Linked DNA regions of Daphnia pulex. The protein of the gene in region 4 interacts with the protein of the main gene of each other region in a biochemical or structural test. Links are inferred from orthologs where the notes say so. Each region holds a gene or a part of one and is shown on either strand. Other genes may lie near its edges.

Region 1 (8,054 bases), on a different chromosome or scaffold from region 4:
TTAACCGTAATTAAAATGAAACAAATAACCCCACATTTTTATCTGATAACTGATGTCTAAAGTTGGTGTGCAGCAAAGTTTTGCTTTCAGTTGCCCTGATTAGAGTTATAAAATCTGTAGCCCATTGAAGCCACAAATGCCAGAGACATTGGAATAAGCCAAGACGCCCATGAAGCAGACTTCGTTTCTTCGTCCTTCTTGGCCCAGTTTGCTGGATTCTTCTCATTAACCTTCTTTGCTTCATTCTAGAAATATGTTAATTACCTATTAATTAGTATATTTCATTAAATATGAAGAAGCAAAACCTAACCTCAGGTAAACTTCCAATTAAGTATTCTTTTAAAAGGTCCCGGGCATCAGTGGAATGTCCAACATCTTCAAATGGTTCTGTTGCGTCTTTCCCAGCTTGCTCCATCAGAACTTCTTCACCACCTGGATGCTTTGTTCATACAAGCACTTGTGTTAAATATATTTAAAAAAATTTACAAGTCATCGTTTTCGTCACTTACTTCTTCAAGAAACTTGGTGACATTATACACATGGCCATGGATGGTTATCCACACACCTGATTTGGAATCTTTGTGCTTACCAACTTCTTCCAATGTAATGATTTTTTCAGCCATTTCAAGATAAAATTGCTGATAACAAACTAAACACAGTAAAATAGGTGCTCAAAGAAAAATTTGAGGAGAAGTTTCAACTGAAACCCGGTCTTGCAACAGGACAAACCCCTTGTAACAGTCGACGTGAGAATTCCTTAATGCTAATGAAAATGAAACGCGCCATCTAGCCTCTTTTCTCCAAGCATAGATATATTATATAGCACTAGCGTCAAGGTTCATTCGCTATCTAGGCTTCATCAATTTTCTGTCGCGTCATTCATGTATATATTTAAAATGTAATTTTTTACATTTACAACAGCCAGAAGCCTAGAAATCCTTCAACTTCACCTGTTGAATGAGTATCAAGGTTGCCGCCGCTCTTCAAGGGTAGTACTTTTTTAAAAGAAACAAGGGCTTAAGAATGCAAGACTTTCAGTTTTGAAGTATGCCTTAACAGAAGCTTTTAATACAAGAAAAAAATTTTAAAAAAGATGTCACTGCCCTATTTATTTTCAATACACATTTTTATTTATAATGATGAAAGTTGAAAGGTTGAAACAGCAAAAAGAAATTTTAATGTACATAGTTCATACAACACGATCGCCATGTTTATTTTCAACTCCGCAAATGATCATCATGTCGTCTGGGCATTTTCATTCCTGTCGATCCTGTGATTGTAGTTGACAAGTCGGCGCCCCACCAAATACCTGTTAAGCATACAGTCGAATGAACATTTGTTATTTCATGACTCATTTATACTGTTTTCGCCTAAGCACACACAACTTTCATGAACTATAAATGTGGCAAAGTTTAAATACTTACTTGTCATTTTTTATGTGTTCATACAGCCGTTTAAACTGTTTCAACTGCCAGACTGAGAATACCATCAAAAGAATAACGACCAGAAATGACGGATATACTCTTCGAGCGATAAGAGCTCTAAGTTGTCGACTTGGAACTATAAAAAGAAGTTAAAAAGAATAAACAAAAGTTTCAAGACGTAATGATGCCCTCAAGATGATCTTACCAAAAAATGGAACGATCGAATGAGCTACGACGTATGGAAGGGCTAACGCCAAACCAAGAGTTACTATAGCAGGGATGGCAAGTTCGCAGAGAACAAAGGTCAAGTTCATTCGGCGAATTCCGTCCTGGTATAACTATTGAAAAGACGGAAAAATAAGAACCGAATTGTTGTTATTCTACGGAACAAATACCTTTTCTAACGAATGTTTCAACCACCAATCCGGTGACATCATTGTCAGCCCGCAAACTATTTTGGTATATAGAACTCCAAGACTCCAATCCTTTACAGTTCATCAAAATAAACAGAAGTAAATATTATTTTAAAGTTCTAGAAAAAAACGTATAAGAAATTTAAAATACAACTTGAGAAAGCGAAAAAATGGGCGATTGGTTGACAGCAACGCGTAGAGGAACTACGACAACGAGATCTAGTAGAAGCCCGAAGAGTAAGGGAATAACGCCAAGCAGTAGAGAAAATGCCACAGTACACTTCAATACCTAAAATATCCAGAATTTATAAATATTATTGGATACGCATATAAAGCAAGTAAAAACAAAACTTTCAACTAACCAAAATGGTATAGGATTTGATTCGAACAAACACGTTTGACCATCCTCGTGGAACCAAATGAGAAAACACGTGAATCCCACGAAGTACTAGCCAGCAAAAATATAGTCCGGCGAATGCCGTATATAATTCATGATGAGGACCAGCTCCATAAAACGTTTCCATTAAAAATCGACCGATCCAAACTAGCAGTTAATTATAAAATAAAAATCTCTTTATCAAATATACTTTAGTTTTTTTTTTTTAGTTTCATACCAGGAAGCGTGAGGAAAATTGTGCTCGCAACAGACAAGCTAATGCACATGATGAAAAGGAGAAGGATGATCCTAATAAAAAAGACCGGGGGTCGTAAATAGGGAACGTATCCTGCGGGACCTTCACGTTGCAAAAGCGCTTGATGAGCAGCTCCTAATCCTCCATTACGAAAAGGTATTCCTCCAAGGAGAATGTTTTCTTCTTGAGCAGGAGGTGCAGCAACAGGTTCTGCTGGTGCGGCAGGTTGATCCATTTGGTGATGTTGAACATCATTTTGCTCATTGTCATCATCTTCTTCTTCTTCTTCACCATTCTCACCAATTACTACTCCTTGGTTGTTGTGATGGGGTTGTCCTTCTCCCGACTGTAGGAAACAGAGCCATAGAATGATAAATGTCGAAAAAAAAATTGCAATTTATACAACCAACTTACCTCGCTTGAGCTAGACACGTCTCCCAACAAGTAAGAACGTAAGCCCAACAGCCAGGACACAGCTAGACACCACATTCTCAACCCATAAAGTAACCATTGACGAGCATGGTTTTGCTCCAACAGGCAAGGCATAATAACCTGCAACAACAGCAACTCCAACGAATATTCCGACACTTGGGTGTCCCTATTTATTTGAAAAATAAATGAGTAACAATCGTCTGAAACTTCTGCTGAAACTTTTGAGAACTTACGTCGAATTGACAATATAATAGGGCAAGAAATTTGGCATGCCCTTCTGCAAAATTCGTATGGGAACCCAAAGCATCAAAAACACGATTGTGCCGAATATCACTAGAGAAGCAGCAAACTGTCTCAAATGACGGACAATTGGAAGATGAATCATCTGTTAAAGGATCACAATTCGTTAGTGGTTTGTTCGGTAAAAAAAAAATAAAATAAAATAAGATTGTTGAAAATATACCTCCTGTACTGGATTAAAGTCTGGATCGTTCAGATTACGCAAAAACCACAAAACTCCTGGTCGTAAAACTTCACGTAATAGCAACACAAAAGAAGCAAAATAAAAAGCACATAGAATGCCCACTAGCCAATGAAGAAACATTGAAGTTCCCGGAGCTTGACTAAAGTTATGCAATCGATCCTGAAATAGGGGAAAATTGTTAGGTTTTCATTTTGGAAGACTTAATATATTTAACACTTACTTTAAAGGTAGCGTCAACAAGTGGTAGGCTACATATATCAAGCCACCAACCACAGACAATCGGAAACACACCAATTTCGGCGACAGTTAACAACGAGACTTTTACGACAACATAACAAAGCCCTAAAATCCGTTTCGGCCTATACAAATTACATGATTAATTTTGTACTGACATTTAATTATTTTTCTTATTTCTTACCTTCGCAATCGAAGAAGTGAAGTGACGCCATGGAGAAGTACGAGAAAAAGCCCAATGACAACATATCCACAAAGGGTCGTCAACAGCCCCTCAAAATGGCACGCTGACACCCAATCTTTCATCTTGAAACCAACGATCGTGAAGTGTCCGATGTGATAAGGACAAAATGCTTAAAATAAAATATGAAACTCAATAAGTTTCTCAACATTCGTAAAACATCAATAAGTCTTCTTACCAAAAACAAGAATAAAGAGTGTGTTAAGAGAAGCAACCCAAAATACGTGTTCCAGGAACACCAATGATCCATCCAGACCGAGAAGACGTTCCCAAGTCAGCTCCTCTGCTCTATCCCATTCCATCAAGTTCCAGTTGACATCGTCTTGAGCTTGGCCTTGAGCCTGCCCTTGTTGGCCTACATTATTAGGAGCTGGAACATTGGCTTCCCCAACACCTTCAGCATTTACATCTGCCCGAGCGTTATTCTGTACCGGAACATCTGCATCAACCCCAGGAGCTTCAGCTGGCTGTTCCATTTCAACATGTTCCTGCTAAAAAAAAATCATTATATAACAAAATAAAATTAAGAACACATAAAGACTGCAAGCTTTTTACCTCATTTTGAATATCTTGTTCTAACCAATCAGGTCCTCCACCATGAAGAATCTGCTCACGCAGCCATACCAATCCAATAAAAGCGCACAAGGTGCATAACACTACCACACAGCCATGCAAAATATCTGTGGCCACATGTTCGCTAACAAAGACAAACAAAAGTGAGAAATAGTAGATTATTTCACTTCAAAATGAACTCACGATGATAGCATATCCAATGGAAGAGTCAAAACAGAAGAGACAGATCCAGTAAAGAGACAGCGATAGATTCTGCAGGCTGTCAAAGGAACAATACCCAGCCAAGCCATGGCAACAAGTGTGTAATGGAGCCAAAATCTAATGGCCCTAGCAAGGCTGGAGACCAGACCAGAAAGTATGTCTTTAAGAGGCAGTCTTTTAGGCATGTCAGGAGAGTAAACTGCAGAAAATATTTTGTCATTTAAGGCTATGGTTCATTTGTTGTCACAGAAATCACTATTCATACTTGGAGTGAAGGAAAATCTATGTGTGCACAGCTCACAATATTCTTTTCTAGAATAACGTAACCATTGGACTAAACCTGCATAGGAGTGAATGATAAGTAAACCAACCAACATATTGATAAATAGATATGAAAAAGGCAAACTTACATTCTTGATGAATGAATTTTATACTTCCTGTACAAATACATGGATGAAATAATGGTCTGTCGGGTGTTCCTTCACACCGACAAACTCGACAAATGTCTGTAGCAAAGCAATATAATAATGAACAATATTGCTCAATCTTCAAAAATCGGGTCGGAATAAGAGTAAGAGAAAACTTACCTGATTGAAGAGATTCATCCATTTTCGTTTATTTAGGGCATCACAGTCCAAGAGCGACAAAAATATGTAGCAAATAAATATGCTATTTATTTTTTTGTTTGTGTTGTTAGAAGAACATTTGTCCCCTTTTAGAAAGGAGGTTGAGACGCAGGCAAAGGAAAAAGGTCAACTCGGGCTACTCGGCTCCGCTCGCTCAACGTAGTGCTCGCTCTCGCTCAACTATCTCAAAGCCAGCTGACTAGAGAACGAAGACTGACGAAAAAAATGTCTAGATTAAAAAAAGCAAATTGGTATTAGTCATCCAAATAAATTGTATGATTTTATAATTTATCAACGCAAAAGTGTTTTTAATTTAGTTATAATTACCGTTTGAAATTTTTCCGCAGTAATTAAAATGGTTAATTTTGTTTAAACAAGCAAAGAATAAAGCAGTCGCGGTGGCGCTGCTGGCTTTCCTGTTCAATTTCGATTTCACTAGCCGCTTTTGCTTCTCCTGATGTAAGTCATACAGTGTACTATCCACTAATCCAGCCGGAAATTAGAATTACGGATTTCTGAACACCAAAATCTATAAAAAAATTTAACGTTTAGGCGTTAACCCCAGTGGAAAAGAAGTTCACCCTCCAAAACTAAAGACCCACCTTGCCCAGTAATCAGTAGGCTACATTCGCGGTCAGTCTTGCATTTGCTATGTATAAATACTGGACTTTTTGCGCTTTAAATTATCCTCTCAGTGATTACAAGTAAAATTTTTCTGGCATTTCACCGAAGTACAAAATAACATCGATAAAAAATATCAGGATCGGCAATTACGAATGTGGAACGATTAATTAAATTAAATCGATCGATCGAATTAAATCGATTAATCGGATTAACGGGAGATGTATGTTGTCGTCTGCGACTCTGCGGCAATGTTTTGATGGAAATGTCATTTTTTTAGGTTGTTTTGTATAAATTAGAAATTCATCGTAGGAAAGCATCGAGCTGATTGATTCAAATCAGTATATAGTCGAATTCTTTGTTATGAAGTAAGAAGATTATAAAAATTAAATTGCACCTCAAAAAGGTAAACAACAATTGGTTATGCATTCCTCCAAACCTGAGAATTTGGAGCTAATAACTAAATTCCTTTTGCAATACATTGATTTTATACTTACTTTGCCAATTTTCTAGGCAGTGCACATCATAATGCTTCCTGGAATAGGAATATTCATTAGTGCTGGTACTATCATGAAGGTTTTAGTGCCTTATTTGCGAGCAAAAGGCTTTAAAGTGGATTCTGTATGGGCTCAGACACAAGAGGCAGCCAGAGAGGCAGCTGAAGAACTTGAAATTCCATTTTTTACAAGCAAAGTGGATGATGTCCTACTGAAGCGTGAAGTTGATTTGATTATCATCATGTGTCCACCAATTCTTCATGCTCAGATTGCAGTAAAAGCCCTAGGAATTGGCAAGCATGTGCTGTGTGACAAACCTGGGGGTTTAAGTCAAAGTGAAACACTCAAAATGGTTCATGCTGCTCAGTATTATCCATCACTTATCTCTGTAATGGCATATAGCCTCAGATTTTTGCCCTCTTTTCAGTATGTGAGAAATGTTATCAATGATCAGCTTATTGGAGAAGTAAATTACTGTGATATCCATGTACAACTTGGATCCCTCATCAATCCAAAAAAGTATGTTCATATCAGTTTAATGAATGCAATCAAAATTTAATTAATTTGTGGATGTAGCTATGATTGGACTTGTGAAGAAGGAATGGGAGGAGGTGTGCTGACCATGATCGGATCCCATGTTATTGACGTCGTTAGCGCGGTGATCCGGCAACGAGCTACTCGTGTTCATGGCGTTACTCGAAGAGGACTGGCTGTTAGGGGAGAAACGAGCATTCGTCGGATCACGAGTGATCGTTTTACTTCTTTTAATATGGAAATGAACGGCGGAGCTTTAGTTGCCGTTACACTTAACAGCCAAGAAGGTTTGAACAACTTTGACATTAGCTTCTCTGTAACTGGTTCACAGGGATTTATCACTTACCGCAGCGATCCTTCTGGTAACAAATAAGATACTAATTTGAAACTGATTAAAAAAATTCAAAGTTGTTTTTACTCTAGGTGGAACAGTAACTGGTCAGAGCAAGGCGAATCCCAGTGCCGAAATTTTCCATACCGACACAGACGAGCTATCATTTCTTCCATCTTCGATTGTAAACAATGCTCCGATTCAACCGCATCAAAGGCCGTACATTAATGGGCTTTTTCGTATGGTATGTAGCAATATGGCACAAGTGAATTCTACCAATCTACGTGTAATCAAATGTACGATTGTTAAACAGGTGTCGGCTCTTAGGGATGCGTTTTCCCGCGTTGAGGATCGTAGTGGATGGATTAAAGACGCTGTTTCTTCCGCTGCTACTTTTGAAGACGGACAGTATGTTATGGCAGTCATCGACGCCGTTAAAAGATCCAGCAAGATGCGAGAGTGGTCGGAAGTGTCTATCATCCACGAAGAACCAGATCCTAATCCGGTGTTAAGTGCCGCTGTTCGCAGGTCCACTATTTCCGCTGTATGAACACAACCAATGCAATAATTTTCTGTTAACGTATTTCAAGAACAAATTTTTTTTCTCTTCTTCTCACATCATTCAAGATTTCTTCAAATAACCTTGCTAAGAAAAATGTTTCATACGACTCTTTAGTTTATGTACCATTTTGACAGTTTTTTCTTTCGTCGTGTCGTCTCGTTCCCTCCTTATGCTTACACACGACTTTAAAATGGAACAACATACAATTATTTATTGTATTTCTATGAATAGATGACAAGTGTCTACGGA
Region 2 (8,013 bases), on a different chromosome or scaffold from region 4:
CTGAATCAATCCTTAATGAACTGGAATGACTTTTGAGAGACTGTTCCAATAAATCCAACAGGGTAGCATCTTCATTTACTTGTAAAGTATATTGCATGAATTCTTGATGCTGGATGCTTGATGATTCCATTGAATTTGTTGGGATACATGATCCAATGAATAATTGTTCAATTACATGTGGGTTGATCTCTCTTATTCTGTTAAGTACCACTCCAAGAAATTCACAGGCATCTTGTTGACCCAGACCTTGCCCCAGTAATTTTCCAATGGAATTCACTGCTCTTGATGGATCAATCAGTTTTTCATCGGAGAATGTGATTGAGACAAAAAGTTCCTGAAGACCAACTAAAACATCCATTGACGGGATTGGCACAGTAGTCTGAGGAGGCACAAACTGTAAAATCAATTGTCGAAAGGCAGGAATGTGGTATAAAATTTGAACTGCAACATTGAACCAACAAGTGGAACCTAAATTTATGAGACCAACTGGTAGGTTTTCAGTATTGATTTTAGATGATGTAGGCACCGATGGTCGAGGAAAGTAACGAGAGACGTGAGGCCCAGACTCGCCAGACAAACTCGCCATGCCTTGCTTCGCCATATTGTCGATGATTCGTAACAAGAATGAATTTTTGCTGTCGTCCACTTCCATTGAACTAAATGTTTAGCGAATATTATACGATTTTAACACAACAAGTGAGCAGTCGACTCTTATCATCCCAGCCCCATTTTTTTTAAACCGGGAAATTTAAACAGTCGCGGGATACGCCATCTAGTTTCAAGAATCAAAGTCATAATTTAATGTTTTATTTTAACAAATTTTTGCCTACGAAACGACGATTGCAAACTTTGATTTTTGTTACGATAAAACGACAATACCGTAACATCATTAAGAAGATTTTTAATTGAATAAATATTGAATAAATCGAACTTTCAGCCATTGATTTATCTCAATTGATTTATCATCAATCGACCAAAGTCAAAGACTTGCTAAGTACGTTGATAATGCACTTGATAAAAAAAAAAACATTTTTATATAGGATTTAATTTTGACGGCATGTATTAACTTCATACCAATATTCAAGGCCAGTTGTACAATCGGTAAACGGGGAAGGGTTGAAAGGGAGGTTGTTGAAAAAGTTGCAGCCATGTAGAGTAAGGATTTTTGCCCTTTGTTAATCCAATCGGTAACATTTAATACTCACTGGCACGAAGAAAGAACTCTTGGAATTGATTATAAATGACCCAGGTCAACATAACTTCCATAGAGAATTCTATTTAGAATTAAAGAAAGCAACGAACTAAGCTAATAGTCCACAACATTGGATATAGCGCAAGTGAACTGATGATTATGGTAGTAAATAACCTTGAAATCAAATATGAACCAACCCCCAACCCGCCGCACAACGTAGAGTAATCAAATAGTTTTATTCGGTCGGGAGCACGTAACGGACGTAGGGCACTTCAACGTCTTCATCTTCAAGGTTATTACAGCATAACTCGAAGACGAGTGCTTTGACATGAGGCTCCAGTCTCTTCTTCGACACACGCTTGACAACCTCTGACATGGGGAGATCCATACGTTCGCTTCGTTTAGCTTGCGGCATAAAGAACGAATAAAGCATGCAAACACCCTGTGAAAGCATGGTGATTTTCAGCTTGTGTTCGCTTTCGAAGTAATCAATAAATTGCCGGAGCGTCTTTTCACCCTCCACTTCAAAACGATCCCACAAGGTCCATTCCTTGTCGTAATACTTTAATCAAATACAAACAAAAAATTTTTTAGTTAACGAATCGATTAAAATATTTTCCAACAATACCGTTTGCTTGGGAGCAGCGATTGGTTCAGAAAAGCCAAAGAACGGAAGAGCCAAGTTGATAAACCCGTTCTTAAATGCCTCAGGATTGGTATGACCCTGTACCAACTTCAAAAGTTCGATGCAGACCAAGCCTGAAACGACGGAGGTAGTAGTAGCAATGGCTGGAATAATCTTTCCAGCAATAAGTTTGCTCTTGTGGCGATCGGCCGGTGCGATATCATAATTCTCTGCCCGCAAGTTAGAAGAGGCTACGATGAAATCCATATGAAAGTTGGTGTCGTCATCCTTTTCAAATTCGAGGGGGAGAATGCGCAAGCCGGACAGAGAGTCCACAGATGGCAACTCCGTCTGCAGCTGGGTAAGTCTGTCTTCATCAAGCATGCCTGGGTTGTTGGCGGCAGCAGCAGCTTCCGCATCCGAAACAGCAATTCTGACTCCTGAACGTGGTACGAATTCCGGTACGACACACGATTCCACCATTTTAGTAATAGCCTATATTCGAGTCCGAGGGGATAAAAACAACTGTAAATCAAATTATGTTTTAACTAAAAAAAGTGAACTCACCTGTACATCGCGCGACTGTGGGATGTTGTAAATTTTAGCTTTTAGATTAGCAGCCGCAACCACATAATCCAAATGGACGGGGTTAGTGATATCGAATTCCAATGGATGAGGACAGCGTTTAGGTCCCGACCAAAACGGTTGACCTGTCAAAACAAAAAATTATATACAAAGTAAATTACACTTTATCAATAGATTTTACCAGAAGAAGTAAGTTGCTCGGGTGGAAAATTAAACAATAATTGCTTGATCTGATTGTGATATTGTTCCTGCCAATGGAGGCGAGCCCATTGAACACACTGCTCAAAATTCTTCGGACGTTCCTCAACTAAGCTGCGGTGGACGGCCTCGACTATCTCGAGTGGTTGAGATCCTGTTAGCTTTAGTGTTCTCTCCATGAATTTAGAATCAACTAAATATTGAGCAGCGCTCTCTGCTGATTGCCGGAACAACCCTTCGAACATATCCCGAGCCCATTGCAGTGTGTGTTCAATGGCATTAGGAAAATTCTTCAGCGTACAGATAGGAATTGATTTTTCCGGAGGATCCTATAAGTTTAAGAAGAAAGTTGATTAATTACAATAAACCAGAAAACTAGCATAAAAGAAAAAATAAATAATAAGCTATATTACTTGAGACGAACTATATGACTCCGTTAGATGGGGGATAACAACTTGAACGTTTCCTTTGGTACCCAGAGTTCCAGATTCGAGCAAGGGCTTGTGGTAATAGACGCAGCGCCTATCCATGTAGATACGGGCATCCACGTTGTCGAGGGCATTAGCAACGCCATCCAATTTCGAAAAAAAATCGTCATCAAAGAACTGCTCCGTTTCGGGACCGACGCGATTCTCGAAGGCTGTAACGTTGGCCTGAGGGTTCATCACCTTCACGGCAGCGGCCGCCGAACTGGATTTGGGTTTCTGTACGTCATGCGACCGGAAAAGAAACTGCCTGTTCAGATTGGACTTTTCAATCAAGTCCATGTCTGTTACGAAGACTTGGCCCCCTTCACCAGCACCAACTCCAATCATGGCAAAATTTTTGAGAAGCTAACAAATAGAATATATTTTTTAATTAATAAAATCTACAGAAAATTTATTACAAAAACTTTGATAATTACCTCACAACCGATAGCTCCAGCTCCCACAATGAAGTAACGTAGGGATCCAAGCTTTTTCTGGAATTCATTGCCAAACACTGCCACCTGAAAATGTAAAAAAATAAAATGCATAACTGATGAAAAACAAAAATAAATATTTCAATACCTGTCCATCATATCTGGATCCAGTAAGCTTACAGTTTTCTTCGGTCAACGAATCTTGGTTATCTGGCAGACACTCGGTGGCATCGAAGTATAGCCATTGAACAATGGGAGAAAACTTTTCGCTACACGCCTTCATAACTTCTTGAGCGACAACCCCGCCGAGAGTGGCGTTTAAGGGGTTCAAATCTCCTTGACATACATGGGAGAAGGTGGCCAGTAACTTTTCGTCAACTTCTTCAACTTTAGATGAGCCACTTAGACCGCTGTTTAACTCTTTAGCTAAATCCACAAACTGTTGACTGTCTTTACGGCTCCAAGGAGTTGGCAATCGTCCCTCCTTCTTGACGTAGGCGTCCAATGTCCTGAATGCTAGATGGATTTGGGGAGGCCGATCAAATTTGCCGAAATCTGTCATCACGAATTCTGGTTCTTCGAGAGCGTCAGCCAACGGTTTGAAGTGGATTTGCTTAGGCATTTTCACTTGGGTAACCACTCCTCCACGTACATAGTCGCTGAAAGCGCTCGTGTCACCAATGCTAAAGGTGTATGGTCCAAGTACTTTGATCTTCTTGGGTTCGCAACCATTCAGCTCAACCATGCCCTGTACCTCAGAGAAGGTAACACAGTCGCCATCTTCCAATCCGTGCCGGGTCTCATCCAAGCAAGTAACAACACTTGCTTCTTCTTTAGACACTCCAGCAATCATAGCAGAAACGGGATTTTCTCCAGTAGTATCGATGATGGTGAAATCTTCCCCAAAGTCACAGAAGACTTGGGCAAACAGACCTTGTGTTTTAGAGACGATGAGAGCATTGCCGAAGCTACGAACGATCTCAGAAACCCGAAGTTGCTCTTCAAGACTTGAATTAGTTAAAACTACAACTCGGTATTTCTTCAAGAATTCTTTGTTCAACTCTCCTGTATAAGTTTCTACTGGGACATACTGGTTGAGTTCGGCCAGGCTCTTGTGAGAAACTTCAGCTCTGTTCTTTCCCAGATCTGCTTCCGATACATAAAACTGGGAAGAAAGGTCAGAGGCTTTGCAAATTGAGTTGTCATGAAGGGTGACGGACTTCACACCTCCCAAGATGATATTCTTAGCAATTTCCACTCCAAGGCCTCCAAGACCGGAAATCAGGACATCAGAAGTTGCCATCCTCTGCATAGCTTCATGGCCCAATACGTAAAGTTGTCTGGAATAAAGACCCTCATCGATGGTGTGGATGTTGCCATTTCCTGCCATTTTCGGTTGCTGCTGAACTTCTTTTAAATGGTGATTGCTACCGTTACTGCTGTTCCCGTTATTTTCTTCCAACTTCCTTTTCTTTGCAGCAGGACTGGGAGACGAGGGTGACGGATCCACCTCAGCAGTGGACATCTAAAAATTAAACTCAATACCTTGGGCAACACGAGCGTCACAATGGGTGCTAACAAACCAGTTTTCTTACTTTAATATAAAAAAAATTACGGTAAGTTTCAAACTCCGAACGATTGGAATACTCACTTAGACTATTCCAACGAAGGGAGAATTATGAACAATTACGACAAAATGCCGGCGAATTTGCACACCAGGATTGGAACGAAAGATAGCCAAACTGAAAGAATGACGAGCAAGAGAGCAACAGAAAGTCAGTCAGTAATTACCAGTACTTTCTATGAACTCGAAAGTGCTGCGTGCTGCCACCTTTCTCCCACCGATGACTCGACGTAGATATGGGGAAATGGCGGGTATCAGCTGATGCAAGTAAGTCCTTGTACCGGCAATTCCCTATTCCTACTAAAATCCAAAGTAAAAATGTCTGTAATCAACGAGTAAGGTGGCGCAATAGTCGACTTTTTTATTAGCCGATTATTAAATAGAGTGATGATGATGACAAAGAAAGTACGCGTAATAATAGTTACATTTCCCGCCGACAATTTGATCGCTGAATTAAAGAGCATCTGGCAACTTGAGCGTTATAGCTTACAGTTTTACACGTGCTTGGATTGAAAATTCGGCTGCTTAAAAATACTGTAAAATCTGCATTTTTTAAAATAAAATATAACAATAGGATCTAATCAGGTATAATTGAATATTATTAAAATAGCTTACTAAAATAAAAACTCAAACCAAAATTTTCTTGAAGATTCATTAAGCCTCCACGAAGATTTGACAAATATGAAGAAACTCTCAACCAAAAAAACGAAGACTGCTTCTTCTTCAAGAAAAAGCAACACAAACGATAGTTCTGACTCAACAAATATGGCAGAGAAAAAATTGTCATTTGTCAGTCATTTGCTTTCAGCCAAAAGTGTCTATGATTCCTTAAAAAATGGACAGACCAAACCAACTTCGAAAAGATCAAAACTTAAAAAAAAAACTTCACGAAAGAACAAAACATCATCCAAATTAAATGTAGACAACAGTTCAACCATTAATCAAAGTGTGTCGGTGACTGGCATTGGTGCCTTAAAACTTAAATTAAAGGAGAGCAACATTTCTGATGAAGATAATTCATTCCAATCCTCTCCCAATGAGGATGATTCTTTTTTAACAGCAGAAAAAGAAGGTATTGAAGAAACCTTTGCTATGGATGAGGAATCAAGTTCTTTGCAAGCAGTCTACCAAACTCTGGATACATTTGATTTCCTTCTAATTAATCCCAATGAAGTTCTAGCATTCATCCCATTTCAGACATGTTTTTACTTCAAAGGACGTCTTAGTTTGACATGTCTTAGTGGGATTGCCGAGATGCAAGGCTTTTCTATTGAGCAGAATTTAAGTAAAACATACCATGTTTTTTCTCCTAGAGGATACAGTCTGCAGTGCATCCGTTCAGTCGGAAAAAGCAATACGTCTTTTAATGCAAGCCGCGCTCACGCTCTCTTGAAGTCTGCTGGGTTGACGTGTGAAGAAAATCTTTTGAAGAAAAAGAGCTCTGAAAATGTCTTGCTTATTTTGCGTTCCCTTAACTTTGGAATGATTGATTACATCAGCCGTATTTTCCCCATCAACATCCTCAAGAAAGAAGAGTGCGTTCCTCCAGAATCTAATTATTGGAGAGATGAAAATCGCAACCTATTTGGCAAACTTTGTAACCAACTTGACACGAGTATTGTTCTACGCGGAAGCATTTTCAGCGCCAGATTCTATTTACAACCAGATGTCTGGGCAGAGTATGCACAACAATTAATGGATAAATATCAAAAAAAGGAAACTGTTAGAGTAATGTTGCTCGGTGGAAAAGGAGTGGGGAAATCAACTCTACTTCGTTACTTGCTTAATCAACTCATCCAAAAGTGTGGAACCGTTTTGGTGGTGGACTTTGATCCTGGCCAGCCAGAGTTTTTTCCTGCGGGATGCGTAACAGCATCTTTAGTCTCTGAACCGTTGCTTGGTCCAAATTTTACCCACATTCAACAGCCACTTTTCTCATACTTTGTCGGGGATGCAGATATTATCGGTTGTCCGGAACGCTATGTTCGGTCATGCCGGCAACTTCTTATCGACTGCAAGCTTAAATTTGCCTTGGAAAACGTTCCAACACTAATCAATACCATGGGATTCACTAGCGGTATTGGTCTGGATGTAACTTTAGACTTGATTCGTCTTACCCAGCCACACCAACTTCTTCAAATTAGCAGCCGCTCACTTCGTCGCAATTTCCCTTCAATGCTCGAACGTGATTATGTTGCTCAACACCAACGCGGCTGGCTAACCGATGCTGCTGAGTGGTCAGAAAAATTACCCAATTACGAGCTACAAGCAATCTATTCATCGGCGGAACTATCGGAGAAAAGTTTAGAAGAATGGGGTTTTCGTGCATCGGAATTGCGGCAAATTGGACTAATGTCCTATTTCAGCCAACTATCTAACAGCGCTCATTGGTCGTTAATGGATTCTGTACCCTACTGCATTTCATGGTAATAATGATTTCCCAATCAATATTATTGTATTCAAGAATAATTGTGTCAATTAAAATTTCTATTTCAAGGCAAGATTTGGCCGTTTGCATCTGCCATGAATCTGTTCCACCTGCTTTGACAATGGCCGCTCTCAACGCTTCGCTTGTTGCTCTTTGCATTTTGGACAACGATGCCGCTGCTTCTGTTCCATATTACCAGGCTGCTGACGGAAAATACCCCAAAATTTTGCGAGAGTTACCTTTGATGCCTTGTCTGGGCTACGGTATTATTAGAGGAATCGACCTTACAAGAGGCCGTGTCTACTTGATCAGCCCAGAACCAGCGGAGCGACTTGCACATGTCAATTGTTTAGTGATGGGAGGAGTACGAGTTCCAGAAAGTCTACTACTCGATGCACCTTTATCGGTCAACCAAGATGAAGAATGTGTCACGAAACTACGAGTCCCATACGGGACTTTT
Region 3 (7,984 bases), on a different chromosome or scaffold from region 4:
CTAGTACCGTTGTTTTTTTATTGTCCACCGGGTCAACGAACTTTAGCCGGTGAACGGTCACAACATCTGTGGAATTTTATTAATTGTCATTTCTCTCGTTTCCTTTTTTTTCCTAGAAAAACTCAACTTAGAACAGCTAAGTACATTTCAGCCTTGCAAGAACAAATGGGCAAGGCTAGAACGGAAGGATCCTGGAGACATAATTAAACAACTTCTGATGTAAGTTAACTGTTTAACATTTTACCATATTGGAATTACGTACTTAAGCTTAATTCCATTACTGGCTAATATTCAACCATTCATCATCGCACATCATCAATTACTCAATCACACATTCTAGTTTTTTTGTATTTCTGTGAAGTTCTCTCATAACGAGTTAATGATGATGAATTGATAAGCTAGTAAAAGCTAGCCGCAGTAATTCAAGAATCAACTTTTTTTACCTAACTAAAAAAAAGCCACCTGTGTGTTATCTTAAGTTATCTTCCTTTACAGAGTATTAATTGACTAATATGTTCATTATTTTCCTTATAGAAAATTAGCCATCATCCTAGGATGGGTGCTCTTCTGTTATGTTGCTTATAAAACAACTCAATATGACTATGAGTTTGCCAAATTTGATCCTTATGAAATCCTGCAAGTGGAAGTTGGCGCTTCCGCGGCAGTTGTCAAGAGTGCTTACCGCAAGCTTTCTGTCATTTACCATCCTGACAAGAAGACTGGTGATGAAAAAACCTTTATGAAAATTACAAGAGCTTACCAGGTATTAAGGAGTACTAGTTTTGCAACAAATTATCAGTATTAATCTTCTCGTTTTGCTTCGAAGGCTTTGACGGATGAAACAGCACGAAGAAACTGGGAAATGTACGGCAATCCAGATGGACCTGAAGCCATTAGTTTTGGCATCGCTCTACCGTCATGGATTGTAGAGAAAGAAAACTCGATTTGGGTTTTAGGGCTGTACGCTTTGCTGTTCATGGTTGCTTTACCCGTGAGCGTTGGGACGTGGTGGTATCGTTCGATTCGATATTCGGGAGAACAAGTGCTGCTTGATACGACACAGATGTACTACTACTTTTTCCACAAGACTCCGCACATGGCAATCAAGCGAGTGTTGATGATCCTCGGTGCATCAGCCGAGTTCCACAGACGCAACAATCCAGAAATACAAGAACGTCGCAGTGACAATACCGAAGTGCCCCAACTGATGAAGCGACTACCTCAGCTCAATGAAAAGAATAAAGAACGGCCGCTGTGTTTCCTGTATTCCATCAAAGCTCGCGCTCTTTTACACGCTCACTTAACCCGACTAGATCTGCCGCAGTCGACGTTGGAAGAGGATCGCTGTGCTGTGGTATGCATTTTTTTTTTTTTAATTTCAAACACCGCATAGAAATTTTCTTTGAACATTCATTCTTCAACAGATCAAGAAGTGCCCCGCGTTAATTCAAGAAATGGTTGTGTGCGTATCTCAACTCATCATGTTGGCCCATGCAGGGCGGCTGAGCCGCATGCCGTCTCTGGTCACATTGGAAGGTTGTATGAAACTTTCGGCCATGGTCGTTCAAGGACTTTGGGAATGCAAGAGTCCTCTCATGCAATTGCCTCACATCACCGACGAAAATCTCAAGTACTTTTCCAGCAAGCGATATCAGGTAATTATTTTTGTGTGTTAATCAAGCTGAAAAGTTAGATGGTTTTTTTAACGAGCCATTGTGTCGCAACAGATCCGCTCGCTGGAACAGCTAGCCCGACTGAAGGACGAAGATAGACGCGAGTGCTTACGTCATCTTGACGACAATCAATACAATGATTTGGTTCTCGCTCTGGGAGGAATGCCTTATGTGGATATGAATATTAAATATGAAGTAGTGGATGACGAATCCACCACAAAGTACACAGCTGGCGCTATCGTCACGGTAAGATGAATTTTTACAAAATAGTTTCAACGGTCGGAGAACTCATTCTTTTAAATCAGGTTACGATCGCCTTGGCAAGGAGAGATTTGAGCGTTCTGTTCGCTAACGAGAAGGAAACAACAAATGAAGTTTTCGAGAACGGTGAAGTGATAGCGGAAGAAGAAGAAAAACAGGAACCCAAAAAGAAGTCACTACCGTGGCAGAAAAACAAAGGCAAGAGAGCTACTAATAAAAAAGGCAGCAAAAAGCCAATAAAGAAGGAAGTAGAAGATAAGAAGAAGACTGCAGCAGCATCAAGTAAAACAGCTAACAAGACAAAGGAAGAAGAATCCGAAAGTTGTAGTGAAGTTGAAGCCGAGGACGAAGTTGAATTGGACGAATCTGACGACGGCGAGGCGGAAGCAGCCAACAATGATGGTTCTTTGCCCGAGAAAGACGACGATCAATTAGAAAAGCTACAGAGTGATGTTGCAATGCGTCGCCAGAGGCTGCTGGAGGGTAAAAGTCAGTTTTCGCACTCGGTGTACTGCCCGTTCTATCCCGAAGACAAACAAGAATATTGGTGGGCTTATATTACGGACCGGAAACAACAAATGCTTCTGACCGCCCCCTATCACATTACCAATCTAGTAGAGCACGAAGAAATCCAACTCAAATTCACAGCTCCGTTCAAGCCGGGATTCTACACGTTCGCCGTGTGTTTACGCTCCGATTCATATTTTGGTTTTGATCAAATGAAGGATATCAAGGTATATTCCGGCTAATTATTTTAATTTTGCTAAATAGGTTATTGATTGATTAAAATTTTAATTCACAGATGGACGTTAAAGAAGCAGAGGAGATTCCTACTGAGCATCCACAATGGGATATTTCCGATGATGAGGATGAAGAAGATAAGAACTCTGGAGGCTCCGAATCTGAATTTGCTACCGATGATGATGACGAAGAGAGTGGCAAGGACTGATTGCAGTAGAAATGAGACTTTTTTTTCACTTGCCAGAGACTTCAACATTCTGTTCATTGGGAAAAAGGATTCAATTTCATCACCGTCTTGTAAAGGCTTAAAATCTTGAAAAATTTATTTCTAGTGGGAATCTTCTGGCTTTATTTTCATTGGCTATACATATGGGTATTTATCATTCCCTATACCTCGACTGCCGATTACACAAATCTTGTCTAGGCCTTCAATCGGTGAAACACGGGATGTTTGCAATATTTTGATTGTGACAGTTGGAAAATTAAAGGCTTCTTAAGACTTCCCTAGAACAGCATTTGAATATTTCGGATAAATGATTCATTTCAATTTTCAATTAACAGATTTGTCTAGATTATTATAGGAACCAAATGTCATCAATTTCTTGACTAGTATAGCGTAAAGAAATGTACACTCTCCACCCTTATACTACCCGACACCAAGGAACCACGGTACTTTATAAAAGGGTTGATAAAGAAAGCGGAAAGGTTGTCTTATCCGAACCAGTGACTTCCCATGCACTCTCTTGTCCACTCCGTTTGACAAACCCAGCACCAATGAAATCCACACTGTTGTCGAGTACAGATCATGTGCATACAACCTCCTGTGAACAAACAAGAAATTAGCTACACCGTTAGAGAAATAATCCCAGATCATAATTTAATTTACCATCTCGCTCGGTTGGCGTTCGGCACTTTGGGCAAGGTTTTGAAGTAACACGTATGGTAACGCGACTGTCTGCATCCCACCTCGCCTAAGTAAATAATTTCATGTTACTCATTTAATCTAGAATCAAGCTCAAATGTGGATATTAGAGAAACCTGAGCAGCTCGTCCGGGATCTACAACGTACTCGGTGGTTGTCAACATGGATTGAAAGTTGTTTTCTCCATTTGTCTGACACTCGTCGATGTGATAGCCTTGTAGGCAATCGCGGCAGAACACGAACTGAGTTGCGAAAAACATTTAGACATTTTTTAACAAGGTTATATTTATGAGAATATGCTTACCTCACATCCCCCTGTGCATTGAATTCGGCGACAAGAAGGGTCCGCAAGTAAGCCCATTCCACAGCCAGGTTGTGGACAAAGCACACCACCTGTCGACATAACATATTCCTCTGCTCCAAAGTGCAGGAGTCGTTGGTACTGCTCATTTCCTAGAATTTTAAAGTGCTGGGTTCCGTCGATCAATGAGTTCTCACATCCAGCTGGACAAGGCAGGGTATAACCGATATTGGGATCGAAGACAAACCTCCTTTCGTTCAATCGAGACATACAGTATTGCTGGAAGCACTCCAAACATATCACATGAGAGTTGGTACATTGAAATACCAAAACAGGATCACTAAAGTGGGATATTAAAATAAGTTGCCAAGTTACTGAATTCTATCTTAACTTTAAAACGATTGCTACCTAATATCCATGCAGGCCAGGCACTGAACCTGTTTGAAGTTTGATTTGACGAGATTCAGAGGAAGAGTTGAGTCAGTCTCTCCTCGTGAAGGGTGATGTGCGCACTTGAAGTAGAATTCGGCCCACGAATGATCACAATCTTCCATCTGACAAGTACCACTAACTTGCTCCGGTCGTAAAACATCATCCCAGCAGCAAGGATCTCGGTCCACGGTGAAGGCACCAGCTTTGCAAAGGCTACATCGAACTCGAAGTTTACCACTTTGTATTGATTTGCATGGAAATTCACAGTAAACATAAAACTGAGCTTTCTTTTGCTTATACTCTGGAGAACTACAAGCTAAAAACGAGGAAGTTGTCAGAATTCATAAAATGATTTGGAAAACTATTTGCAGACGTACCCAGAGATTTGTGCAACAATTTCTGTTCCTCTTCAGTTAACTGCAAGTCGAGCAATGTTTCACAAAGAGGCTTGTCTTGATGAAATGGTGTATTTCTCCTATTTTTGTCTTCGGAAGAAGTTGCATCAGTTTTTTTTATGACTTTAAGTTTAACAGCATTTAGAATACTATTATGACCAAGATCACACTCCTAAAAATTTGTTGGGTAAATTAAACTTAGAATATCAACAAAAGCAATATAAGAAATTAACAAACCTCTAGTAACAAGTCATCAGCAAGACTTTTGCCAGCCAAAATAATGCTGATATCTTCAACTTTCAGACCAACTTTAGGGGCTATAAATTTCTTGATCCGAGCTACATCCCAATCTCGACTCATTTCGATAAGAAATGTTTTACCTCCTGCAGCTTTTATGTGAACAGGCAGGGTAAATTCACTTGAATCACTGGGCCAAAAAAATCTCAAAATTCTGTTCAATAATGAACGTATGAGCGACAACAGCCATTTAATCATTCTGTAGGTTTACGTGAAAAACCCAAGATTGAAGAACATTATGAAAGCGAGATATCTACGTAAAAAATGTATAATTTAAATAACCAAAAATATTTTATATTTTTATATTGCATACCGGCACGAACTGAAAATATTGTTTACGTTGGCTTCGGTTGAAATGAATTGGAACAAACGTCGTCTGCAGTCTGCTGTGAAATGGACTAGCAACAATTTCGTCATAATATTTAGTTAGTAGGTTGACGCTAGCACCTTCTCTTCGTCACTCTCATCAACAAGTCAACTTCGTCTTATTATATTTAGCAGAGTATATAAAAGGTAACGAAATTATCTGTTATTCTGGTGTTTAGTGAGATTGTGGCTTGTAGGCTTTTATGGCTCTAGAAGGTCAACTTAAACTTGTCAAACTAAAAACTGCTGTAAATTTCTAGAATAAGTAATGTCGAAAAATCCTTGATATACTTAACCTCTTTCGTAAGCCCCTCTTTTTCGGTCATACCTACACGTTTATTTACATAAGTAATTATCGAAATCCGTACTTTAACTGAAAATGACGAACCCAACAGAAGTCGACCAAATCATGTTACTGGGTTACTTTTAATTAAATTAGTTTTAGGTCTTATATAACGTTACACTTCTTATAGCAACTAACTAATTATTCTAAAATTCAACCTTGGATGAAAGAAATTTATACAACTATTAATTTCCAGAAAATTAGAAAGAAGTTGGTAATTAAACAATACTGATCTAGTTTAATCCAAGATATTGAAATGTCTGGCAGGAAAAATCTTTTCAAGCAACTAATGGTGGCCCTGAAAAGGGCCGATTGGTAAGTCAAAAGGGAAAAGGTCGCTTAGGCACGTTCACCACGAATACGACGAGCGAGCTGGATGTCTTTTGGCATGATGGTGACTCGCTTGGCGTGGATGGCGCACAAGTTGGTGTCTTCGAAAAGACCCACCAAGTAAGCCTCGCTGGCCTCCTGCAGGGCCATGACGGCCGAGCTCTGGAAACGCAAATCTGTCTTGAAATCCTGGGCGATTTCTCTGACCAAGCGCTGGAATGGCAACTTGCGGATCAGAAGCTCGGTCGACTTTTGGTAGCGACGGATCTCACGAAGGGCGACGGTGCCGGGACGATAACGATGGGGTTTCTTGACTCCTCCAGTGGCCGGGGCACTCTTGCGAGCGGCTTTGGTGGCCAACTGTTTGCGGGGCGCCTTGCCACCGGTGGATTTACGAGCAGTTTGCTTGGTACGAGCCATTTCGAGCGAGTGAAATTTCAGATGTCCTAACTAGTGAAAAGTGCTTGGTATATGTGGGGAACCTACGGACGTTGCAGAGCTAAGCGAGTTCACTGGCTAGGGATTGGTTAATTCAAAAATGGGAGGGAATAGAAAATTTATAACGGAAATCCTTTTTGTTGACAAATGATGGCTGGAGCTGAGTTCCACCAATAGGAGTTCAGCTTGAGGATCCGGTAGGGTATATATTGGGACCATAGTGAGTTTAACATAACATCATTCGATATTTTTTAAATCTCTGAAACTTATTTGAAAATGACTGGTCGCGGCAAAGGAGGAAAAGGACTCGGCAAGGGAGGCGCCAAACGTCATCGCAAAGTTTTGCGTGACAACATCCAGGGAATCACCAAGCCGGCCATCCGTCGTCTTGCCCGTCGTGGTGGTGTCAAGCGAATCTCTGGTCTCATCTACGAGGAGACCCGCGGTGTGTTGAAGGTGTTCCTTGAGAACGTGATTCGTGACGCCGTCACCTACACTGAACACGCCAAGAGGAAGACGGTGACGGCCATGGACGTCGTCTACGCATTGAAACGCCAGGGCCGCACTCTGTACGGCTTCGGCGGTTAAATTTGATTCCGATTTATTATTTTAACTCCTGACTCAATCCAATCGGCCCTTTTCAGGGCCACCATTTACTTAAAGAAAAAGATTTCTTAACCACTTTTTAAACCATATTCTTGTCGACTTTATGCTGCTACAAGAACAAAATCCTTGAATTTTGAATTAATAAGCATCATTCTTTTATTTCATCTTTGAAAGATTTGATTGACATAGCAGGTGTTGGAGCAATGCGTCCTAAAGGATCTTGTGATCTGAAACTATGTTAATCCAAATAACTCGATCGAAAAATATCGAGATGCTGTTATGTTATTGATATTGTTTTCTCAGATTTTACGCAGTATTTTTATTTTTAACTTTCATATTTAACAAAAATCTTCCTTAGTTCCTTAGTATGTAGAAGGAGTTGCTAACGGAGATAAATTTTAATATCAATCATTTTCTAAATCAAATGAATATGTAAAATCAACGCATTGAACCGGATCTGCCAAACTTAAAATTCAGCAGAAAGATAGAGAAAAGCTCTTGATCACAGTATTTCCTAACGTTCCGTCGCACTAATCAACAATATGGGTTCAGTTTAGAACTCGATTAGATAATAAATGTCAAAAGTAGTTAGATGTTTTTCCTTTCTTTAAAATTTGGTGGCCCTGAAAAGGGCCGTTTGGTTTGTAGAGAGAACAAGAGGATCACTCTACTTGGTGCTGGTGTACTTGGTCACTGCCTTGGTGCCTTCAGACACGGCGTGCTTGGCCAACTCACCGGGCAAGAGCAGACGGACGGCCGTCTGGATTTCCCGGCTGGTGATGGTCGACCGCTTGTTGTAGTGGGCGAGACGGGACGACTCTCCAGCGATGCGCTCGAAAATGTCGTTGACGAAGCTGTTCATGATGGTCATGGCTTTGG
Region 4 (6,880 bases):
GCTGAGCTGTTCCATCTGGGTTCCTGACTTCAAAATTTTTGTGTTGTCGTTTTCATCCATGCCATGAAATTGCTCTGTGTTAACTGCGTGCTGAAAAGTTTGATCTGTTGTCTCTCGAGTTTTCATTCAATCATGCAGTATACAACTGAGGCAGCCTGATCAATATCAGGTTTGACACAGTCGAGAACTGCTAGATTAAACAAGCTTTCTGCGCCAAACAAATAATAACTTGCATATAACTTGCATCATGTTATTATCGCGGTAGAGAAAGCGACAGGCCCCCCCCCCTGGGGGCCACAGGAAAATAAATGTGTAAATATTATAAAATAAATTTTGTATGCAATAAAATATTCAAATAAAATAAATTTTGTTGCAATAAATTTTTCGCGAAAATTTTTAAAAACTTTGTATAAGGGGAATTTTTTTAAAATTTTTTCAAAAACAAAAGTCTGGACTTAGCAGAAAAATAGGTATGTGGACTTTGTATTTTTAAAAATATTGAACTTTAATCTTTAGAAAAATATTGGTTGTTGGACTTTGAATTTTAATGATAGAAAAAAAATTTATAAAAAGGAAAGAGTAAATATTATTGAAATGTAAAACATGAGTTTGAATTTTCATTGTTGTATTTTGCAAGATCAATTATTTGTAAGTTAACATAGCACTCAGAAATATTTTCTCACATCATGCAATTATCAGCAGCAGGAAAGGTACTTGAGGAGAAAATAGAGACATGCACTTGTGATTTATCAATCAATCTTGTATTTCAGCAATCTTTCAACACATCAAAAGAAATACTTCAGAACTTCGGTGTATAGTTCGGAGCAACGTAAATGGTGACATAGTCGGGAGAATTGCTGATGTAATACATATGAACCTTGGTAGTAGTTTGGAGCAGGGTAATACTTAAATTCCTCGATGTAGTAAACTAGGCAGCGTACGTGGGTGGGTAAAAGGCGGCTTCTTCGGTGTAGTACTTGGGGGCTGCGGTGTTGTAGCTAGGTGTAGAGCAGGTCGTGGTGTAGTATTTCTGTTCAACGTAGCACGAAAGCGCAGCTTCTGTGTAGTAAGTCGGGACTGCGTAATACTTAGCCGCCTCAGTTGTGGTTGTGTAGATCGAGGCAGAAAAGTACTTTGGCGCTTCGGTGTAGTATTCGACCGTTTTGGTGGAGTAATCAGCGGGAGCTTCGGTGTAGCAGCTGGAAACAGAGTAGTATTTAGGAAAATCGGTGCAATAAGTAGCTGAGAACAGAGTAATACTTGGGAGCCTCGGTGTAGTAGGATGGGGCAGCATGCGTAGTCATGTAGTACTCTGTCGCCTTGGTGGTGTAGTAACTCAGGGCAGACCGGCAGAGTAATACTTCAGGGCGTCAGTGTAGTGGCTCGGGGCAGCGTAAGTTGTGGTATAAAACTCCGGTAGCTTTAGTACTTGAAGACTTCGGTGCAGGAACTGGTCGTTGCGTAACTTGCTTTTGGATAGGAAGGCGGCGGCGTTGCGGTTTAGTTTCCACCATACCAAGGAGACATCACTACACCAACGGTCGACCCAGCCATCAACGATACAACACCCAACAGGAGCACGACGCCATAGTTAAATAAACAGTAAATAAATTTAAACATTAATATTAAATATTAACAGGCATATTAACAAATAGAAAAAACATAGAATCAATGTAAAATAAGAATATTTACCCATAATTGCGAATCGATTACACGATGAGGAATGCAGTTGGTGACAGATAGGGCACTGCAGTTCGCGCACGACTTCTTTTTTTCTTTACTCCGGGACGTAGGTGTAGTAGCCCGGGGCAGCGTAGGTTGTAGTGTAGTACTTGAGCGCTTCAGTGTTGTAGTAATGCAGGGCCTTGGTGTAGTAGTTAGGGGCAGCATACATAGACGTGTAGAATTCCGGTCCCTTAGTGATGTAGTACTTGGGAGCCTCGGTGTAGTACACTGGGCAGCATACGTTGTTGTGTAATAGGCGGCTTCTTCGGTGTAGTACTTGGGGGCTGCGGTGTAGCTTAGGTCGTGGTGAAGTTAACTGGAGCATCAGTGTAGTATCTGTTCAACGTAGCACTAAAGAGCAGCTTCGGTGTAGCAAGTCGGAACTGCGTAATACTTGGCCGCCTCGGTTGTGGTTGTGTAGATCGGGGCAGAGTAGTACTTTGCCGCTTCGGTGTAGTATTCGACCGTCTTGGTGGAGATCAGCGGGAGCCTCGGTGTAGCAGCTGGGAACAGAGTAGTACTTAATATACTTAATATAGGTGCAATAAGTAGCTGAGAACAGAGTAATACTTGGAAGCCTCGGTGTAGTAGAATGGGGTAGCATGCGTAGTCCTGCTCCGTCGCCTTGGTGGTGTAGTAACTCGGGGCAGAGTAATACTTCAGGGCGTCAGTGTAGTAAATCGGGGCAGCGTAAGTTGTGGTATAAAACTTCGGTGCCTTAGGGGTGTAGTACTTGTAGACCTCGGTGCAGGAACTGGTCGTTGCGTAAGTTGCTTTTGGGTAGTAAAGCGGTGGCGTTGCGGTTTGGTATCCGCCATACCCAGGAGACATCAATACACCAGTGGTCGACCCACCAATCAACGATACAACATCCAACAGCCTTATTATCTAGACATTAAACAATTTCAAACATTATTAATCAATAATAATTTGCATTTTAACAAACAGAAAATAATTGGCATTAATAAAAAACTTTATGTAGAGACAGAATATTTACCCATGGGTGAAGAAGGCAGATGGTGACAGATAGCGCACAGCAGTTGTTGCCGTGTCGGAGATCCTCACTCGACTGATGTCTCTGGCCTTTTTCGTCTCCTTTTTATACGATTTTTTGATCACCCTCACCTCTTAAGCCTTGCGGGTATTGTACCTGTTCGATAATGATGAAACACGTACCTTTCTCACCCAACCTCTCCGCCGTCGCATGATACGTTCTACGTAATGATCTCCGTGACCTTCGAGCGTCAAACTGGCCTTTCCTTCTGCAGTTTGAAGTTGCTGGGGGGTGGGTCGACAAAAACCAATATCAAAATGAATACCAAATGGTTATGGCTTGCAGCTATTTTACCTGTTTGATAATGATGAAACACGTCCCGTTCTTACCCAACCTCTACACCACTGCATGACACGTTTCACGTAATGATCTCCGTGACCTTCGAATGTGAAGGAAATGCAAACTGGTCTTTCCTTCTTTAGGTTGGCGTTGCTGGGGATGGGTCTACAACAACAAATATCAAAATGAATACCAAATGGCTGAGCCTTGCGGCTATTATACCTGCTTGATAATGATGAAACACGTACCTTTCTCACCCAACCTCCACCGCACTGACAGTTTTACACGTAATGTTCACCGTGACCTTCAAGCGTGAAGAACATGCAAACTGGCCGGCCCGTCTGCAGACCCCTGTCAACCGATTTGCCTCTTGACTAGCATGCTCTAGCGGTCTTCAACTCAACCTTTTCTACAAAGTAATATGCAGACGAAAAAAGACCAAAATTAACAGATTCCAAGTTTACGTTTGATCATACCTGTGACAGTGTGACATCATTTATCAAGTTTAGATTTCAGTTTAATTTTATTAAGTGTTATATTCTGTAGTTACAATGGCTGGGTCTGCTCTTCGACGTTTAATGGCCGAGTACAAACGTGAGAATTGTTATTTTTTGTTATTTTTATAACTTATTAGGTATTCCTGTATATTTTACAAATTTAAGTAATGCATATTTAAGTAACCCTTAGCAGTTATTTGATAATGTATGACTTTTTTTAGAACTTACCTTGAATCCACCTGAAGGTATTGTAGCTGGTCCTATCAACGAAGAGAATTTTTTTGACTGGGAATGCCTCATTGTGTAAAATATTTTGATTCATTTTCTGTGCATGATCTTGTCTCACTTTTTAAATACATTGGTGGTTTTTACAATCCATAGGGGACCTGACGGAACATGTTTTGAGGGTGGTGTTTTTCCAGCAAAATTAACATTTCCAACTGATTATCCATTAAGCCCACCAAAGATGCAGTTTACTTGTGAAATGTTTCATCCTAACAGTAATTTAAATAAAAACTTAGTTAAATATAAAAACACTTGTTAATACTCAAGTTGATTTACCAGTCTATTCAGATGGAAGGGTTTGCATTTCCATTTTACATGCTCCAGGTGATGATCCCTTAGGATATGAATCTAGTGCTGAACGATGGAGTCCTGTTCAGAGTGTGGAAAAGATTCTACTTTCAGTCATCAGCATGTTGGCAGGTCCGTATTTAAATTGGTAAACAATCGCCCTTAATTAACCTCTTTATTACAGAACCTAATGATGAGAGTGGAGCAAACATTGATGCTGCAAAAATGTGGCGAGAAAACCGAGCTGAATTTGATCGCATTGCAACTCGAATCGTTCGGAAATCATTGAATATTCCCTTGTAATATGTACAATATAATAAAAGAAAAATTATGAAAGCGGTTGTCCTTTTAAAAAATATAAAAACTCGTCTTCGACATTAATTGTATTTGACAGTTTTGTGTTATGTCGGGAAAACACACTGTATATTATCTATATATTGAAAGGTTATATTAAACTCTATAGATGCACATTGGCAAATGTATCTGTCCAATCGGAGAGAATTTGTAAATTAAATTAGAAATACTTTTTCAATGACTAGAAATGACACCATTCTAGGGGGCAAAGTGGGAATGTTGCAGAGAACCTTCTAGTTGCTCTGAGTAGTAGTGAGTTGTATTTAAATAGTCTCGCAACCGTTTGGGAAGTGGCAACATACTGATTTGATCTCGCCTGATCAACTTCAAAATAACAAATCTAAGATAATTAATGTGTGAATTAAATCAAATTAAACCATGTAGTTTATTTGAAAAATGTACCTGGACAAGTGTTGCAAGCTTTGAACTTGGCGGAATCGTGATACTGGGTGCAACAGCTGAACACGAGTAGGTCCGTGTGTTGGCCTTCGATGAAGGAAAAAAAGAAACCGACCACTCCTCGAGTGTTCGATAGCCTTATCTATGAACTCAACCATTGTTTGGCTCTTGAATCGGGCAACACTTCCGAAACTGAAGTTTCCTATTAAAATAAGATTTAAGAATTTTAGTCATAATAACTGATAATTAATTAATCGGAAAATGAATTACCATGATCGTGTTCGATGCGAACGTGTCTTACACCGCCGTTCAATTTAAACGACAAAGAGAAGATGTAATGATCATCGCTGCTATCTAAGTAACAACGTTATGAAATTATTAACACAGTTACGTATTTTTCTAATGAATCAATTTCTTAAATATTTGAAATAACTAAATTCATAATTAATGTAAAATGGTTTTTTTTTGGCAGTTACTAAAAAAATTGTCAAGAGCAAAAGAGAAACATATTATTAATACCTCGCACTAGAAAAGATCCGTCGGGTTCGTTGGACAATATTTGCTCAGCAGCTTCACCAGATAGAGGACCCCAATACCATCCATGGTCCTTCACAGCTTCGATTGAAGCAGCAAAGTCTAGATTAGTTTGATTGGTAGTCGTTTCCATATTAAACTCAGGTGAGCTATTCACATTTGTTTCGAACTCGTTCTGTACGCTGTTCGAAGCATTCGAATCCAAAACTTCCTCTGCCAAATCCGCTTGTTTTACCCTTTCTCTTGATTCAATTAAAGACGGAAGGGTAGGTGAGGGGCGAGAAGGAACACGAACAAATCCAACTTCTTCTTGCGGAACAGGAGGTAAAGCCCTACGTTGATATGGTGAGCTCTCAGTACACTGTGGATTGCTCGATTTGTTATCTGGTGTACTGAAAGTCCATCCGGTAGGACACACTTGATTGCATGATTCACCATGATACGATAAATGATGATGCGATGGAATGCGAAAAACACTGAAGAGTGCTTGCTTAATTCCTGCAGCAGTCACACTTAAACTCTTTCGACTTCGCTTTGTTCGAGCATCATCAAAGTTACTATTCTTAGCGACTACGTGTGGTGTCCAAACAAAGCAGCTTTTTCTTTTACTTTCCGAGGAGGTGGACTCGACCGATTTAGAGGGGACAACCATCCATGGACGTCTCCTTGACAAAGAAGTGTCTTGAAATTCACGCAAATAAGATTGGACTTCCTCAAGAGTCATATGAACAGGTTCACTGGGTTCTAACTTTGGCACAGCAGCAATACTGTGTCTATTTCTGCATGTGTTGTTTTGTCTTTGTTTCTGCCTTTCAATATTTGCCAAACTGTCAACAGGGAGTGAATAAACATCACATCCAGATTGAATGCAATTTGATTCTGTAGACGGTGCTGGCTTCTTAATCCGTAGTCTAACCTTAGGTTTCACAACAATGGCCAGAAGTGAGTGTGCCATTTCACTGGCAAATTTAGACACAGCACAGTCATTTAGCACTGGCTTAAGTTCAAGATCTTCTTCTTCACTGAAAGGGTCATCATAGAAGCGATCTTCCACATTGCCAAGCATCTTCCTAGAATCTTCAAAACCAGGAGGAGGATCCAATACAGGAATTTCTGATACTGTGATAAAATCATCTTCATTGCAACCATAGTCCATGGTTTAACATTCTATTCAAATCAATAAAATATATTAGCAAGAAGTTGTAAGCAATTTCAACTGATTGATTATTTGTTTGAATATTGTAACTGACCACAATTGTAAGCAGCTATCTAGAATTAAAGAACGACTGAAACATTGGTAAGTAAAGTATGCAGCGAAAATTCCAAAGGCTTCCTTTTATCAACGAGTTCGTAGACTCTTACAAATAGATTATTTGCCAATATTTAGTATTTACCGTCCTTAAAGAAGGTCACGAATAAGTAAGATCCGGGTTGAAGATTTTCGATCTCACATATCTCTGTGACA

Evidence for each region.
Region 1: the proteins of ubiquitin-conjugating enzyme E2 G2-like (region 4) and E3 ubiquitin-protein ligase MARCHF6-like form a complex in vitro, tested with the Homo sapiens proteins (2 studies listed by BioGRID). The link is inferred for Daphnia pulex from reciprocal best matches to the Homo sapiens genes UBE2G2 and MARCHF6.
Region 2: of the proteins of ubiquitin-conjugating enzyme E2 G2-like (region 4) and ubiquitin-like modifier-activating enzyme 1, one has a biochemical effect on the other in vitro, tested with the Homo sapiens proteins (5 studies listed by BioGRID, with this or other methods). The link is inferred for Daphnia pulex from reciprocal best matches to the Homo sapiens genes UBE2G2 and UBA1.
Region 3: the proteins of ubiquitin-conjugating enzyme E2 G2-like (region 4) and E3 ubiquitin-protein ligase parkin-like form a complex in vitro, tested with the Homo sapiens proteins (6 studies listed by BioGRID). The link is inferred for Daphnia pulex from reciprocal best matches to the Homo sapiens genes UBE2G2 and PRKN.

What each region holds. Positions count from the first base shown.
Region 1 is NC_060020.1:1,681,510-1,689,563, reverse strand, and holds E3 ubiquitin-protein ligase MARCHF6-like, read right to left. Parts: upstream 5,447-8,054; 5' UTR 5,244-5,446; coding exon 5,222-5,243; intron 5,141-5,221; coding exon 5,045-5,140; intron 4,975-5,044; coding exon 4,900-4,974; intron 4,834-4,899; coding exon 4,617-4,833; intron 4,558-4,616; coding exon 4,416-4,557; intron 4,352-4,415; coding exon 4,039-4,351; intron 3,973-4,038; coding exon 3,804-3,972; intron 3,745-3,803; coding exon 3,606-3,744; intron 3,545-3,605; coding exon 3,365-3,544; intron 3,287-3,364; coding exon 3,135-3,286; intron 3,068-3,134; coding exon 2,884-3,067; intron 2,816-2,883; coding exon 2,452-2,815; intron 2,382-2,451; coding exon 2,200-2,381; intron 2,127-2,199; coding exon 1,992-2,126; intron 1,910-1,991; coding exon 1,820-1,909; intron 1,763-1,819; coding exon 1,630-1,762; intron 1,561-1,629; coding exon 1,425-1,560; intron 1,319-1,424; coding exon 1,237-1,318; 3' UTR 1,090-1,236; downstream 1-1,089. Other genes in the region: cytochrome b5-like, read right to left, coding at 87-245, 311-439, 510-623; glucose-fructose oxidoreductase domain-containing protein 2-like, read left to right, coding at 6,410-6,897, 6,955-7,274, 7,336-7,487, 7,557-7,793. UniProt on the Homo sapiens protein: Endoplasmic reticulum membrane-associated E3 ubiquitin ligase that plays a critical role in mitigating endoplasmic reticulum stress, the regulation of cholesterol and lipid homeostasis, and ferroptosis.
Region 2 is NC_060018.1:5,971,384-5,979,396, forward strand, and holds ubiquitin-like modifier-activating enzyme 1, read right to left. Parts: upstream 5,447-8,013; 5' UTR 5,299-5,446; exon of another isoform or gene 5,153-5,298; intron 5,047-5,152; 5' UTR 5,027-5,046; coding exon 3,650-5,026; intron 3,589-3,649; coding exon 3,505-3,588; intron 3,434-3,504; coding exon 3,014-3,433; intron 2,930-3,013; coding exon 2,584-2,929; intron 2,528-2,583; coding exon 2,385-2,527; intron 2,313-2,384; coding exon 1,821-2,312; intron 1,755-1,820; coding exon 1,428-1,754; 3' UTR 1,043-1,427; downstream 1-1,042. Other genes in the region: uncharacterized protein LOC124207205, read right to left, coding at 1-652; polynucleotide 5'-hydroxyl-kinase nol9-like, read left to right, coding at 5,807-7,551, 7,623-8,013. UniProt on the Homo sapiens protein: Catalyzes the first step in ubiquitin conjugation to mark cellular proteins for degradation through the ubiquitin-proteasome system.
Region 3 is NC_060026.1:3,259,806-3,267,789, reverse strand, and holds E3 ubiquitin-protein ligase parkin-like, read right to left. Parts: upstream 5,447-7,984; 5' UTR 5,336-5,446; intron 5,276-5,335; 5' UTR 5,221-5,275; coding exon 4,963-5,220; intron 4,898-4,962; coding exon 4,708-4,897; intron 4,647-4,707; coding exon 4,307-4,646; intron 4,239-4,306; coding exon 3,902-4,238; intron 3,840-3,901; coding exon 3,714-3,839; intron 3,647-3,713; coding exon 3,562-3,646; intron 3,497-3,561; coding exon 3,387-3,496; 3' UTR 2,884-3,386; coding exon of another isoform or gene 2,737-2,883; 3' UTR 2,675-2,736; downstream 1-2,674. Other genes in the region: translocation protein SEC63 homolog, read left to right, coding at 117-219, 535-763, 827-1,354, 1,425-1,655, 1,728-1,919, 1,979-2,668, 2,737-2,883; histone H3, read right to left, coding at 6,071-6,481; histone H4, read left to right, coding at 6,776-7,087; histone H2B.3, read right to left, coding at 7,773-7,984. UniProt on the Homo sapiens protein: Functions within a multiprotein E3 ubiquitin ligase complex, catalyzing the covalent attachment of ubiquitin moieties onto substrate proteins. Substrates include SYT11 and VDAC1.
Region 4 is NC_060021.1:11,410,041-11,416,920, reverse strand, and holds ubiquitin-conjugating enzyme E2 G2-like, read left to right. Parts: upstream 1-3,500; 5' UTR 3,501-3,609; coding exon 3,610-3,652; intron 3,653-3,776; coding exon 3,777-3,858; intron 3,859-3,936; coding exon 3,937-4,055; intron 4,056-4,119; coding exon 4,120-4,260; intron 4,261-4,312; coding exon 4,313-4,431; 3' UTR 4,432-4,464; downstream 4,465-6,880. Other genes in the region: uncharacterized protein LOC124194765, read right to left, coding at 4,681-4,822, 4,885-5,083, 5,152-5,235, 5,401-6,571. UniProt on the Homo sapiens protein: Accepts ubiquitin from the E1 complex and catalyzes its covalent attachment to other proteins. In vitro catalyzes 'Lys-48'-linked polyubiquitination. Involved in endoplasmic reticulum-associated degradation (ERAD).